Saccharomyces cerevisiae S288C: one gene and its partners. The gene in region 1 interacts genetically with each later gene. Each region holds a gene or a part of one and is shown in the gene's direction. Other genes may lie near its edges.

Region 1 (5,795 bases):
GTAACATGCTAGTAGTATGAATACTAGTCGATATACGTAAATAAATTTTCATTTTAAAATGGATATGCCTAATCTGATAGATTCTATTAGCTGATTTTTCTACTACTTTTCATGTTCGTTTTTCAATAATTTGCAAGTTATATATCTTTGCCTCCGCTATACCGTGATGAAGGTTAATGCGTAAGTTGCAGGCGAGGCATGATATGGACCACAACCCAGTTCGAACATAAAGAACTGAAAAACCATGAGCTGTTTGATTAATTCAAAACAGCTGCTCACAATTTGGCCCAAGTTCAAACCTTTGTCTTTGAAGCATGGAACGTGCCGTTATTTTCATGCTAGTGTAATTTTTGCCTGTTTCATCCCTCCCATCAAAAAATTCATCACGAAGTGCTAAAGGAAAACAAAAAAAATATCAAAGAGAGGAGACGGCTTAAAAGCCCTTATTCAATTGAAGAAATCCCCTGACCTCTGCAAAAAATCTATCGTTTATTTTATTTCTTTGTCTTACGTAACAAATTTATTTTCTGGGATGATGTCAATTCTATTTGGCACGCGAGTCATCGTCTATATAAGGAGGTAACGAGGTCCTTGTATATTTGATGATCCTCACTATCAACACGTCGAGGGACGGTTGGTGACGAACTCAACTTATGTTATAGTTTTGGACCACTCTTTTCCTTGAAAAATTACAGGCATTATACGCAGTCCTGGGGCAGGAGCGCTTCGATCATTAGCATAACAGGATCACGGTTATCACCTGTTTTGTTATAATTCATGGCCTTTAGGTCATGACGTAAAATAATCGGAGTGAAAAAATGAAATCAAAGGCTATCATTTTTAGGGGAACTAAAGCACAAGGATTTGAAGGCGTAGTGAAATAATGAATAATAGATAATCTATGGACCGAACACAGACGTATTTAAAGACAATACAAGGCCATTAATTCCCTTCGGAGGGCTCCCGATGGGAGGATTCTTAGCATGCTCTTTCTAGCCAACAGTATCACTTTCATCAGAAAACGGAAGCCTCCAAAAAGCTACGCTAAACGCTTTTTTGTTTTGGATTATCGCAGAAAATTGGTGACATTCTTGATTAAGAATAAACGGTGACTAGCAAGAAAAGGACATGTCAGGTACCAGTAAAGTCCGATTTAAGATCAAATCAGCGCCTTTAAAGAATCTTGAGATCTTAGTAATCCCGATGGAAGGAAAGAGGTAAACAAACGAATAACTTAACCCTTAAGATGATTCTATACATAGCATGATCTATCCAAGGAACGACCGACGCCCTTAAAAGGGTTCTGCTCAGATTTCGTTAAATACCCGGACCATCGTAGATGATTGTTTTTACTCTCCCCTAACGATGTACTATGCCATAATAAGCATTTTTTTTTTCTTTCTTCACTGCAGCTCTGCTTTGAAAACACTACATCTAAGGCGCTGACGCCAACGCCCAGACTAAATCATCATATAATATCAAACGCCCAACAAAATATTAGAAATAGCTCAACAATAGAGCGCCAAAAGTTTACCGGAACGAACCATCATTGTTTACAGGCAAGCACCCATTTGGAAGGGTACGTAAACTAAATAAATAAGACAAGAAATTTTTTTTATATCTGGAATTTCCTTTGCATTTTAGTGATCCCACCATTACAGATAACTAAACCAGGATAAAAAACAAAAATAATGACATTAATGATACCTTAACTAACGTATAGCAAGCGAAGCAACCACCCATCAGATTTTTGTCCCCGTTTGGAAACTGGAATGCTATGACCACTTTTATCACTACAGCTAACCACTTGTCGGAATGAAGATACGAAAGAGAAATCTTTATTGGACCACTTTTTCTTTCGCTAGAGGTCCTACCTAGCGTATTGCACCCAAGTGATTATTGCGACCTCTGAGTGTCAGAAACTTACGAAGTAAAATTCATAGTTGTGCCTTTCGTCAAGAATCGGAAAGCGTAAAAATAGGCTACGGTCTTTGTCAAGGCGAAATTTTGGAGATTTCAGACGCATGATACCAGCAGTTTTTGGTAATATACTTTTTCAGGTAAAAGCTTTCTACGGCCACTGAAAGTAATGCAGAAGCTTAAGGCTACAGATGAAATGGCCGACCCAAACTAACCAAGCACAACATCAATTACAGAACCGACAATCGAAAATCCTAAAAAAAAAGAACATCGAGTGAACTTTTCGTTATCTCAAAGCTTTAAAGTTAAAAGTGGCAGAAGCCTTGGCTATTCTGTTTCTCTCTTAGATTCTCGCACGACAGCATCGAGCGAAGTTGCAAAACCATATATTTCAGTTCTCTAAACGATCTTTCCCCGAACTCCAATCGAAATAGACTTAACCCGCAACATAACTGACATTCTTCCTCTTTTTTTTTTTTTTTTTTTTTTTTTGCTATTTGCTTTCTGCATGCATAAAAGCGAGACTAGCGTATTAACACTTTATCACTTTCCCTCTCTTCCTGAAGCTGACATGAGCATACATCAATGTCCGAACAACACTCTGTCGCAGTCGGTAAAGCTGCTAATGAGCACGAGACTGCCCCTAGGAGAAATGTTAGAGTCAAGAAGCGGCCCTTAATTAGACCATTGAACTCGTCAGCATCTACGCTGTATGAATTTGCCCTAGAGTGTTTCAACAAGGGTGGAAAACGAGATGGTATGGCTTGGAGAGATGTCATCGAGATTCATGAGACAAAGAAAACCATTGTGAGAAAGGTAGACGGCAAGGATAAATCTATAGAAAAGACATGGCTGTATTATGAAATGTCACCATATAAAATGATGACCTACCAGGAACTGATCTGGGTGATGCACGATATGGGCCGTGGGCTGGCAAAAATAGGCATCAAGCCCAATGGAGAACACAAATTCCACATCTTCGCATCTACTTCCCATAAATGGATGAAGATTTTCCTTGGTTGCATATCCCAGGGTATCCCCGTAGTAACCGCGTATGATACTTTGGGTGAGAGCGGTTTGATTCACTCCATGGTTGAAACCGAGTCTGCTGCTATTTTCACTGATAATCAATTATTGGCTAAAATGATAGTGCCTTTGCAATCTGCTAAAGATATCAAATTTCTTATCCATAACGAACCTATCGACCCCAATGACAGAAGACAAAACGGCAAACTTTACAAGGCTGCTAAGGATGCCATTAATAAGATCAGAGAAGTTAGGCCAGACATAAAAATTTATAGTTTTGAAGAAGTTGTCAAGATAGGTAAAAAAAGTAAAGATGAGGTCAAACTTCATCCACCTGAGCCAAAAGATTTGGCTTGTATCATGTACACCTCGGGCTCGATCAGTGCACCAAAAGGTGTAGTATTGACTCATTATAATATTGTTTCGGGTATCGCTGGTGTAGGTCACAACGTCTTTGGATGGATCGGCTCTACAGACCGTGTTTTGTCGTTCTTGCCATTGGCTCATATTTTTGAACTGGTCTTTGAATTCGAAGCCTTTTACTGGAACGGTATTCTTGGGTACGGTAGTGTTAAGACTTTGACTAATACTTCGACTCGTAATTGTAAGGGTGACCTGGTTGAGTTTAAGCCTACTATTATGATCGGTGTGGCTGCCGTTTGGGAAACTGTGAGAAAAGCTATTTTGGAAAAGATCAGCGATTTAACTCCCGTACTCCAAAAGATTTTTTGGTCTGCCTATAGTATGAAAGAAAAGAGTGTACCATGCACCGGGTTTTTAAGTCGTATGGTCTTCAAGAAAGTCAGACAAGCCACCGGTGGTCATCTTAAGTATATTATGAACGGTGGGTCTGCGATCAGTATTGATGCTCAGAAATTCTTTTCTATCGTCCTGTGTCCTATGATTATCGGTTACGGCCTTACTGAAACAGTTGCGAATGCTTGTGTTTTGGAGCCTGATCATTTCGAATATGGTATAGTTGGTGATCTTGTTGGATCGGTCACTGCCAAATTGGTGGATGTTAAGGACCTAGGTTATTATGCAAAAAACAATCAAGGTGAATTGCTTCTAAAGGGTGCGCCGGTCTGTTCTGAATATTATAAGAATCCAATAGAAACGGCGGTCTCTTTCACTTACGATGGATGGTTTCGTACTGGTGATATTGTTGAATGGACTCCCAAGGGACAACTTAAAATTATTGATAGAAGAAAGAATTTGGTTAAAACCCTAAATGGTGAATATATTGCATTAGAAAAGTTAGAATCTGTTTACAGGTCAAACTCCTATGTGAAAAATATCTGTGTTTATGCCGATGAAAGTAGGGTTAAACCGGTGGGTATTGTGGTACCCAACCCAGGACCCCTATCTAAATTTGCTGTCAAATTGCGTATTATGAAAAAGGGTGAAGACATCGAAAACTATATCCATGACAAAGCATTACGAAATGCTGTTTTCAAAGAGATGATCGCAACAGCCAAATCTCAAGGTTTGGTTGGTATTGAACTATTATGTGGTATTGTTTTCTTTGATGAAGAATGGACACCTGAAAATGGCTTTGTCACATCTGCTCAAAAATTAAAGAGAAGAGAAATCTTAGCCGCTGTTAAATCAGAAGTCGAAAGGGTTTACAAAGAAAATTCTTAGAGAGAAGCTTATTACCTTCCCCTTCCATCTATGCACGGTGTCTCGTACTTCCATAGAGCACCGATTAGTGAATACTAAAACTATGTGCGTGATAAATGGTTCTCTTTTACAGATGCGGTAAATCAATTATTGATATACTACATAACATACAAACATGTTTCATTTCCGTAATACAAATTACAATTGTATAATTAAAAAATATAAAAAACTTCGTGATATGAAATCACATTTTGCTATTGAGTTTGCCACATGAGCGGTATACGAACTATTCGTTATTTTATGACTTTAAAAGCCATACCGAAAGTAGGCTTGAGAAGTATGACTACTGTAGGAGTGACCACTACTGTTAAATGCAGATAGCCGTCTTATGCTCTTCCCTTGTTCTTCTGAATTGGGAATGCATAGCTTGAAACATCAATCTTAATAAGGTCTTGTTTGTTTCTGCTTGGCTTTCATAGTAGCAAATAGTTTCGACCTTAATGTAAGAAATAAAAGCAATCGTTAATTTGAGTAAAGATAACCACTCTTCCTCTTCTACTATCAATATAATAAGAATAACGCTTATGGTTTATTTTAGCTTTTTTGAAAGCTAAACATTAAAAAAGAATAAAAATGCACGGCATACCTACATATTTTAAAAACATATATTTTATGATTGACTTTAGCAAAAGTTGGCGCTGGGTACTTTGAGACTCTTTCCTACAAAACGTTACCAACACTTGCTAGTCTAATCTAATCTACTTAATCAAGGTTTTAGTGGCGTACCATGTGACGGCCATCAAATGCCATCAGTTCTACAAGTTCACATATATTTATATATAACTATTCTCCTAACTTGTATAATATTATACCGAGACAGAGGATAGATTCAATTGATTTCACATACCGGATTATGTTCCTTCCCAAGTTCTCAATCTTATTTAGACTTTTTTTTTTAATTACATTGTCGCCCACTTCGGCAGAAAAAATATAACGACAAAGTAATGGCATCGCATCGACCTAATGAAATACTACTGGCAGACGGTATGGAGAGCTCAAAAATTCCCAAAGCAGAAAACAATACTGATTTCTGATACTAAAACGAGATAGGTTAATAGCAAAATCGGGATGGTAAACGTGAAAGTGGAGTTTCTAGGTGGACTTGATGCTATTTTTGGAAAACAAAGAGTACATAAAATTAAGATGGACAAAGAAGATCCTGTCAC
Region 2 (4,070 bases), on another chromosome or scaffold:
ATATTGTTTCCATGGAAAATGCGAAAGGTATATCAAATATGGTTGTTAACGCTATTTTGCCTTGTTTGACCTTCAACAAAATTGTGTCCAATATTTCATGGAGGGATATAAAGGAGATTGGAGTGATAATACTTTCAGCTTTTATCTTGTTTGTTTTAGGTGCCACGGGCGCCTTATTTACTACATTTGCTACGACTGTGCCCAAAAAATTCTTCTGGGGGCTCATATTTGCGGGTTTCTTTCCAAATATATCAGATTTACCTATTGCCTATATTCAGAGCATGGGTAACGGCTCCATTTTTACTGCTGAAGAAGCTGATAAAGGTGTTGCTTATTCCTGCATTTTTTTATTTATTCAAAGTTTCCTAATGATGAATTTTGGAATGTGGAGAGTGGTCGGACTTGATTTTAGAGATACAAAAGAACCAGATAGTGAGAATATTACTCCGTCAGTAAGTCCCGCTATCGACGATCGCAAACTTACTGAAATAACAAAGTTACCTAATATCACACGTCCTACAAATGCCTATCAATCGGAAGATGCGAGAAGTAATAGCGATTTGTCTTGTAACTCTATTACTACAAATGAAATGACACCGCAGGCATTCTACGAAGGTTTTACTGGCTACATCAAACCCTATAAAGAATCAAATGGTGCATCCCATAAATTTGAAAGTGACCTTCCGCATGCTGAAATATATAGGGTTTCCTCGACTTATTCAAGCCCAGGCGCATTGGAGTTCTCGCGAATAGATGGCAGTTCCCTCTCATATAGTCGTATATCAAAAAATAGCGATGGCAGAAGTTATAGAAGAAAAAGGAAAGCGGATATGAATGAGTTGATTTCCAAATACAGTGCCGCCGAAAAAATAAGGCAAGGTGAATTAGATTTATCAAGACCACTATCCTTGACTGAAGAAGTTGGAAGCAGGAACGCAAGTATTGGTAATGTGCACACTGGTTATACCGATGAAAGTTCCATCGAAGAAGAAAATTGCACTAATATGGCCACCGACGGGAGGGGTAGCCTCTCCTTCTTTATAGAGAGACACAATCTCAAATGGTTGCAGTACTTTATTATAAATTGCCTCAGGCCAGCATCTCTGGGGGCAATACTAGGAATAATATGTGCATTAATTCCCTGGGTTAAAGCATGCTTCGTAACGACATATGTTCACGTTCATAAGGCGCCTGATGGAGAACCTGTTCTGAATTTTTTAATGGATTTTACAGAGTATATTGGAAATGCATGTGTTCCATTGGGGCTTCTATTACTTGGCGGAACGTTGGCAAGATTAGAAATTAAGTCATTGCCACCTGGATTTATTAAATCCGCCTTATTGATGACATGCTTTCGATTAATTGTCATTCCTATTATTGGCGTCCTATGGGTAAATAAACTATATTCGATCGATTGGCTGGATACGGGCATAGGAAAATTTGACATGATATTAACGTGGTCCATGCCGAGTGCTACTGCTCAAGTATATTTCACAGCATTTTATACGCCAGCATGTGGTGATCACATTCAAATGAACTGTTTGTCCGTCTTATTTGTCATGCAGTATGCGATTCTTTTCATCACTGTGGCGTTTGTTGTTACATATACCTTAAAGGTCGATTTAAAAGTTTGATTATATCCCTAGGCGAATAGGTATATACAAGAGTAGCTTATTATCAACTTATATATTCTGTTTTTTCAAAAGTAGCGATGAATTCCAATCGCGTATTTATTCGTTGTATTTATTTTTTGGGGTAGGGTTGTGGGGGGGGATCCGCGTAAGTATATTTATAACAATTCAATAATAATATTGTAGATTTGAAGAGAATCACACATGTAACAGAAAAGCTGTAATGATATTAAGTCAGAGGAGGATGCTGAGTTCAAAGCAACTAATAGAGAACTTGATAAGATACAAATTTCATAAAACACCATATACTCGGAGCTCAATATGGCCTTTCAAAAGAAATTCGGCGGTAATAATACTATTATTCATTGGAATGAAAGGCGAACTACGAGTGCTTTTAACTAAACGTTCAAGAACATTGAGAAGCTTCTCAGGTGATGTTTCATTTCCTGGAGGTAAAGCTGATTATTTTCAAGAAACCTTTGAAAGCGTAGCCAGAAGAGAAGCTGAAGAGGAGATTGGGTTACCGCATGATCCTGAGGTCTTGCATAAGGAGTTCGGAATGAAATTAGACAATTTGGTCATGGATATGCCATGCTATTTATCAAGAACATTTTTAAGTGTTAAGCCAATGGTCTGTTTTCTTTACAAAGATAAATTAGAAAAACATGAGGATAAATACAAAGTTCCCTTAGATATCCGTAAGTTTTTTGGTAAGCTGAACCCTGGAGAAACATCTTCTTTGTTTTCTGTACCACTCAATGACTTAGTTATACATCTTCTTCCTGAAGCCGATGAGGATGTTAAGAGTTATCAAGCAGAATATTTTGAGCGGAAGGAGTATAAGCTTAATTGGGGTGGAATAAAATGGTTGATTATGCATTATCATTTTCACGTAGCAAATAATAACGAAATGCCATGGTTGCAAACCATAGAGGATTTATCAAGTTCAGACGAAGACGGTGTTGATGGAGGTATTTTCAGATTCAGGGATTTGTGGGGACTCACATGTAAAATATTATTCGACGTTTCATGTATAGCTAATGGACTAATGGACGAAAAGTTAAAAGGAGAACTAGGGCACGAAGATTTGATAGTTGGACTACATGACTATGGTAATCAGATGCAACCGAACGGAAGAAGTGAATGGGAGATAGGAATGATCAACGGCGACAGAAACTTAAAATATAGCGATGTGATACCTGAATACTACATGAAGCACCTGCTGGAGTGCCGCTCGCTTTGGTAAAAAAAACTGTGGTATAATGCGTTGCCTAACAATACTCTCAAGAGATAATCAAGATGAGAGAAAAAGAATCATACTGGATGTCCTTAATCGATAACAAAAAGTTTTTAATGAAGAATGACTAATGATGAAATTGTTATACAAATACAAACAAACTACACGCTTGCACATCTCAGAAGTGAAAAAAAAAAAAAGAAAATTGAAAAGTAAATTAAAAGTCATTTATTTTTTATTGCTTAAATAAAACAAAATGATATGTCATATTCTCGATTGGATGTCAACCCAATTTTATTCTTTGGTTTGCCAGCATGATCATCTTCACTTGCAAATTATATAGTAAATAACCAATTAAAATAATAATAGTAATAGAAACAGAAAGTAGAACACTGTTATTGGATTCTTTCAGTTGGAATTATTCATATATAAGGCTTAAGCCAAAGATGGCAAGTTAGAAACGTCAATGTTACGGTTCTTTTGAACGGTGTTAGCAGAGTTAGTAGCGTTAGCAGTGTTGTTACCCTTTCTAGCGCCTCTACCACCACGACGGTTGTTGAAGTTGTTTCTGCTGTTGTTGTTTCTGTCACCGAAGTTCTTTCTAGTGTTAGATTCAACAAAAGTGGCATCAAATTCCAAGTACTCCTTGGTCTTCAATTGCTTAGATTTGACGTTCTTGACCTTGGTTGCTGGAACGTAAGCTTCCTTTTCAGCAGTTTCAATTCTTTCAGCGTCTAATTCAACCTTCTTAGCTTCTGGGACCTTGTTGAACTGGTTGTTAGCTTGTTGGTTCAAGTAGTCTTGCAAAGACAATTGAGCGGTCTTTGGCTTACCAGCGTCTTCAGCTTCTGCAGCGTCTTCAGCAATTTCAGCAGCAGCATCGGCTTGAGCTTCCTTTTCAGCACTCAATTCCTTCTTGTCATCACCCCAACCTTGGTTAACCTTCTTCTTGGTGTCAGTCTTACCAGTTCTAGAGTGGCGGTCAGTGGCCCTTCTGGTGTTGGACTTCTTGGTGGTGGCAGAGTCAGTGACATCCTTTGATCTGTTGTTTCTTCTACCAGCGGTCTTGTCTCTGATAGCACCCTCGTTACCAGAAGGTCTTGGTCTGTTCTTTCTAGCCTTGGATGGGTCAGCGGATGGAGGTGGGACGTCAGCCTTCTTGGAGGAAGTGTTGCTCTTGACGATTTCCTTTGGTGGCAAAA
Region 3 (5,485 bases), on another chromosome or scaffold:
ATCAGATGTATATCTTTCAATCTTTTCTTGCCTATTCCTAATTTTCTCAGTAACTTCATCAACTTTCTGTTGAATGCCACTGATTTCATTCTCTAAATTTTTACAAGCATCTGTATTATGGGCAACATCGATCCATAACGATTTCGCTTGCAAAAGCATTTTCCTTTCGTTCAAGTCTGAAGTCTGATTTAATTCCCTTAACAGTTTTTTGGCATCTTCGTATTCAGCTTTCAAAGACTTCAAATTCTCCAGGTGCAGAGCCATATTTTCTTGTGCACTATCGTGAATAGCACTGGCGTAAAGCAAATTCTCGGTAATTTCTTGAAGTAAAGTACCCTTCATAAAATGGCTATACTTATCCTGTGAGGTACTAGCAGTTAAGAAAGACCTAGCAGCGTCTTGTGACAGGAAACACATGGGGTTGCTTACAGGAACAGAAAAATAGTCCACTACCGTCTGAATATCCTTTTTCTTATTGCTAATTTCCTTGCCGTTTTCCGACCTTAAACTAAAAGAAGCGGGCCCATCTCTCTTAATTATCCTTTCTACTATAATTTCGTTACCAAAAATACCTTGCTGATAAGCACCATACTTGCTATTATCCAGATGAAGGATGATTTTAGCAGAATAACAACCTTCACGAATCAAATCCTTCAAAGAGGAACCTCTGTTAGTCTCGCTAGCCTTGGCTCCCAAACCAATAGTAATGGCGGTCAAAATTGCACTTTTACCACTACCATTATTACCAACAATAAAATTCAGCCTAGAACCAAGCTCAAGTTCAAAATGTTCATGGCACATAAAGTTTCGCAAGATCACTTTCTTAATATATCCTGAAGGTGACTCTTCCAAAAAGTTATCTTGATCCGCCGTGGCCACGTCAGAGGAGCTCCTAAACCCGCTGTCTTCATCTAGTGTATTGCTGTTAAACTGTGTCATGGGGGCAAATTGATGACGTCTGCGTTTTCTCTGCTGCTGCTGCTCTTCGTTTTCCTGCTGCGCAGTCAGTGAAAGTAGCTCATCATCAACCTGCTCTATAGGTCTTTTACCACTAATCGTAGTCGAAATCATACCATTTAGCAATCTAACAAGAATATGCTCTTTATTATTATTAACAGCAGCTACTTATCTCTTGCGAACCTATATGCCTCTTGTCTTTTTTTCTTATTATGAACTTCACTACATGAAATATAAATATTCATGTTGATAGATCCAAACATTGAAATTTAGTATACGCGACGCGTTTTTGGCAAGTTTAACTTAGAATTTTCACTATAAAACAGAAATTTTGATAAAACTTGGATGAAAATGTTCCTTTTGCCTAACTATCAAATACCACAGAAAAATCTTTAATACCATGCCATACTACTCCTGGTCTGTTCATGAACTTGCTTGACATTTCCCTACCTCTGACACACTTTTTGATCCAAGAATCTCATTTCTTATCTCCGCGAAGAATCAAAGAAACCGAAGAAAGTCGTTTTGTTGCTCCGGTGGAGAATCAAGAACTTGGAGGAAGGAGCACAGCAGAGTGTTAAACAAGGCGCTAGTACTCTATATTGTAGAGTCTGTACGTGAATAAATCGACGTGTGTGTACGGTGGAAAAATGCTGTCTCGACCTTCAAGCCGATTCCTATCCACTAAAAGGGGCCCTGGACCTGCAGTGAAAAAATTAATTGCAATTGGGGAGAAATGGAAACAGAAGACAACCCGTGGCTTGCCTAAGCAGGATACTCTGAATAGCGGGTCGAAATATATTCTGTGCCAGTTTCCATATCCTTCTGGGGCGCTTCACATAGGACATCTCCGAGTTTATGTCATTAGCGACTCTTTGAATAGATTTTACAAACAAAAAGGGTACAACGTGATACATCCGATGGGATGGGATGCTTTTGGGTTACCTGCCGAGAACGCTGCTATAGAAAGAAGCATTAATCCGGCCATATGGACTAGGGACAATATTGCAAAAATGAAACAACAAATGCAAAGTATGCTGGCAAATTTTGATTGGGACAGAGAAATAACTACATGTGATCCCGAATACTATAAATTCACCCAATGGATTTTCTTAAAACTTTTTGAAAATGGCTTAGCTTATCGTAAAGAAGCAGAAATTAATTGGGATCCCGTTGATATGACAGTTTTGGCTAATGAACAAGTGGATGCCCAGGGCCGTTCTTGGAGATCAGGGGCTATTGTGGAAAAGAAGCAGCTAAAACAGTGGTTTTTGGGAATAACGAAATTCGCTCCTAAATTGAAAAAGCACTTGAACCAACTGAAGGACTGGCCTTCCAACGTGAAGCAAATGCAAAAAAATTGGATAGGCGAATCTGTGGGTGCAGAATTAGTGTTCAAAGTTGCGGACCCCAAATTTGAAAACTTGATTGTCTTTACAACAAGACCGGAAACTCTTTTTGCTGTACAGTATGTTGCTCTCGCATTAGACCACCCAATTGTACAAAAATACTGCGAGGAAATGCCGGATTTAAAAGAGTTTATACAGAAAAGTGATCAATTACCAAACGATACGAAGGAAGGATTTCAGTTACCTAACATAAAGGCCGTAAATCCCTTAACTAAAGAGGAAGTCCCCATATTTGCAGCTCCATATGTGGTCAGCAGCTATGGTTCAGCACCTAGTGCAGTAATGGGTTGTCCAGGACACGATAACCGAGATTTTGAGTTTTGGCAAACAAATTGTCCTGGTGAACATATCAAGACGTGCATAGCACCTTTTTTTGACGATGCTTCAAAAGTAACTGAACAGGAAAGACAAAGAATAATTGATACTGTCCCGTTCACATCTACTGACGGTGTCCTAACCAAAGAATGCGGAGAACACTCAGGAGTTCTCACTGTAGTGGCAAGGAAATCGATAATGGGGATGTTGAATAGCGAAGGACTGTCTAAGAGCGTCGTTAGATACAAAATTAGAGATTGGCTGATAAGTAGACAAAGATACTGGGGTACTCCAATACCCATCATTCACTGCGACAACTGTGGACCTGTCCCCGTTCCAGAAAGTGATCTACCTGTCAAGCTACCAGAACTTGAAGGCTTGGATACAAAAGGGAATCCGCTGTCCACAATCGATGAATTTGTAAATGTCGCCTGTCCTTCATGCGGGAGCCCTGCGAAAAGAGAAACTGACACCATGGATACTTTTATCGATAGTTCTTGGTATTATTTCAGATTCTTGGATCCCAAAAACACTTCAAAACCATTTGATCGTGAAATTGCAAGTAAAAATATGCCGGTTGATATTTATATTGGTGGAGTAGAACATGCTATCTTACACTTGTTATACTCAAGGTTTATTGCTAAATTTCTCGGATCTATCAATGCATGGAGCGACCCTGCTGGCATCTTCGAACCATTCAAAAAACTGGTGACACAAGGAATGGTTCAAGGGAAAACCTATGTTGACCCCGATTCTGGTAAATTTTTGAAGCCTGACGAGTTAACCTTTGTAAATGACTCTCCAGATGGCAACACAGTGATTATTAAATCAAATGGCAAGGTTCCGGTAGTCTCTTATGAAAAAATGTCGAAATCTAAATACAATGGTGCAGATCCAAATGAATGTATTTTAAGACATGGACCTGATGCTACGAGAGCACATATCCTCTTCCAAAGTCCAATTGCAGATGCCCTGAATTGGGATGAATCCAAGATTGTTGGTATAGAACGTTGGTTGCAGAAGGTTCTTCATTTGACCAAAAATATTCTCAGTCTCGAGAAGGATTTGGCAATAAGTAAAGACTACAAGACCCCGACCGACTTAAATGATGCAGAAGTGAAATTTCACAACGATTTCCAACGCTTCTTGAAATCAATTACGGAATCATTTGAAGTTAATCTATCGTTAAACACTGTAATATCTGATTATATGAAGCTAACCAATATTTTAGAAAGTGCATTGAAAAAAGGTGAAGTAAGGAATGAAATGATAGTACAGAATTTACAAAAGTTGGTAACCGTTATATATCCTGCTGTCCCGTCAATTTCAGAAGAAGCTGCAGAGATGATCAACTCCCAAATGGAATGGAACCAATACCGCTGGCCAGAAGTTGAGCGCACTACTGAGTCCAAATTCAAAAAGTTTCAAATTGTGGTAAATGGCAGAGTCAAATTCATGTACACGGCTGACAAAAACTTTTTGAAATTAGGTAGGGATGCTGTTATTGAAACTTTGATGAACTTACCGGAAGGGAGAATGTATTTGATGAATAAAAAAATCAAAAAATTTGTCATGAAATTCAATGTGATTAGTTTCTTATTCCACAAGTAATCATATGACGCCATGAATTTACCACTAGTGCTTGTAAATAGTTAAATATTAATGCCTTATAGATATAAATTGTCCAATCTCCTTTTTGGAAGTTATAATATATATATATATATATATATGTATATAAATGTGGATGCATATTCTAAGAATTTTGAACGCTATACTTTGAGAGACTCTTCAAATATGTAAACAAGAATGCTGCAATGTCTCTATATGGATTAGCAGTGTTACTCAAATGCATTAAAATCTTTACTCTCAAGTCGTGAATGTTATTAACGCCCTTTATCCAACCATGCTGGCCAATCTCATCATGATGAACTCGAAAGAAATTGTTAAACGTCTCTTCATTTATGATCCCACTGGTGAATTTTATTTTGGTATTTTCGGCCGTTTCCAGTCGTCTTAGAATAATAATACATATGTAGGATAGCGCTGGTATACCAGTTATCGTGAAAAATTTAGCGTTCTTGAAGTCTGCAGTTGGGATATAAAGATTCTCCAAAATCTGCTTAAAGAAATCTGGTGAGACTCCAAACAAACTTTTGGATGACAGAACTTTATTCCTGTAAAGATAATTTGTCAAATCCATGATATATTGGTTCTGCATCCGAACGAATTTGTTTGTTGACGGGTATTGCATCAATTTATTTTTCGTAGCAACCAAGTACCTGCACGCAGCTGATAATAGCAAAGGATCGTCCGAACTGAACACTTTATTCATGATGTCAGGGCCCACAATCAAATATTGGATCGCATAATCCGACTTCGTTTGTTTCGACAGTTGAGTTAAAATATCTAACGAGCTGATGAAAGCCATCGTAGAAAATCTGTTTGAAGTAGCATTGTTAAAGATTTTGTCCAAAGTTAGCAGGCTTTGCATGTCATGCAGTAGTGTCAACCCGAGTGCTATCAATTTATCATCTAAAACCCAGTTTGTAATCATTTGTAAAACGTAAAAACAAGTTTCAGAAAATGTGCAATTATTGTCGTGACCATCTCGTGTACTCCACATAAAAATACTGGCCATAAACTTAACGAAAAATTCCCTTGTACCACTGATTAGTTCAGGCTTCCATAATGGCAAGATTCCGCCACAAACCTTTTTCAACGTAAGCTCATCGAGTTTTAAGTATTTCAAATTACAAAACGTTTGAATAATGCGAGAAGACAGTTTATTATCCATTGAGGACACC

What was found. Genes that interact genetically often act in the same process or in processes that back each other up.
Region 2: mutations in FAA3 (region 1) and PCD1 together harm fitness less than expected from each alone (positive genetic interaction), as found in Saccharomyces cerevisiae (one large-scale study listed by BioGRID).
Region 3: mutations in FAA3 (region 1) and NAM2 together harm fitness less than expected from each alone (positive genetic interaction), as found in Saccharomyces cerevisiae (one large-scale study listed by BioGRID).

What each region holds. Positions count from the first base shown.
Region 1 is NC_001141.2:336,839-342,633, forward strand, and holds FAA3 (long-chain fatty acid-CoA ligase FAA3), read left to right. Parts: upstream 1-2,505; coding exon 2,506-4,590; downstream 4,591-5,795. Other genes in the region: ubiquitin-related modifier URM1, read left to right, coding at 5,698-5,795. UniProt on the Saccharomyces cerevisiae protein: Activates endogenous long-chain fatty acids (LCFA) by esterification of the fatty acids into metabolically active CoA-thioesters for subsequent degradation or incorporation into phospholipids.
Region 2 is NC_001144.5:440,522-444,591, reverse strand, and holds PCD1 (8-oxo-dGTP diphosphatase), read left to right. Parts: upstream 1-1,854; coding exon 1,855-2,877; downstream 2,878-4,070. Other genes in the region: YLR152C (uncharacterized protein), read left to right, coding at 1-1,634; STM1 (Stm1p), read right to left, coding at 3,304-4,070. UniProt on the Saccharomyces cerevisiae protein: Diphosphatase (pyrophosphatase) with specificity for coenzyme A and CoA derivatives. Catalyzes the hydrolysis of the diphosphate linkage in CoA to give 3',5'-ADP and 4'-phosphopantetheine. Prefers oxidized CoA disulfide (CoASSCoA) over CoA as a substrate.
Region 3 is NC_001144.5:880,874-886,358, reverse strand, and holds NAM2 (leucine--tRNA ligase NAM2), read left to right. Parts: upstream 1-1,607; coding exon 1,608-4,292; downstream 4,293-5,485. Other genes in the region: DNA repair protein SMC6, read right to left, coding at 1-1,071; CTF3 (Ctf3p), read right to left, coding at 4,435-5,485. UniProt on the Saccharomyces cerevisiae protein: Catalyzes the attachment of leucine to tRNA(Leu) in the mitochondrion.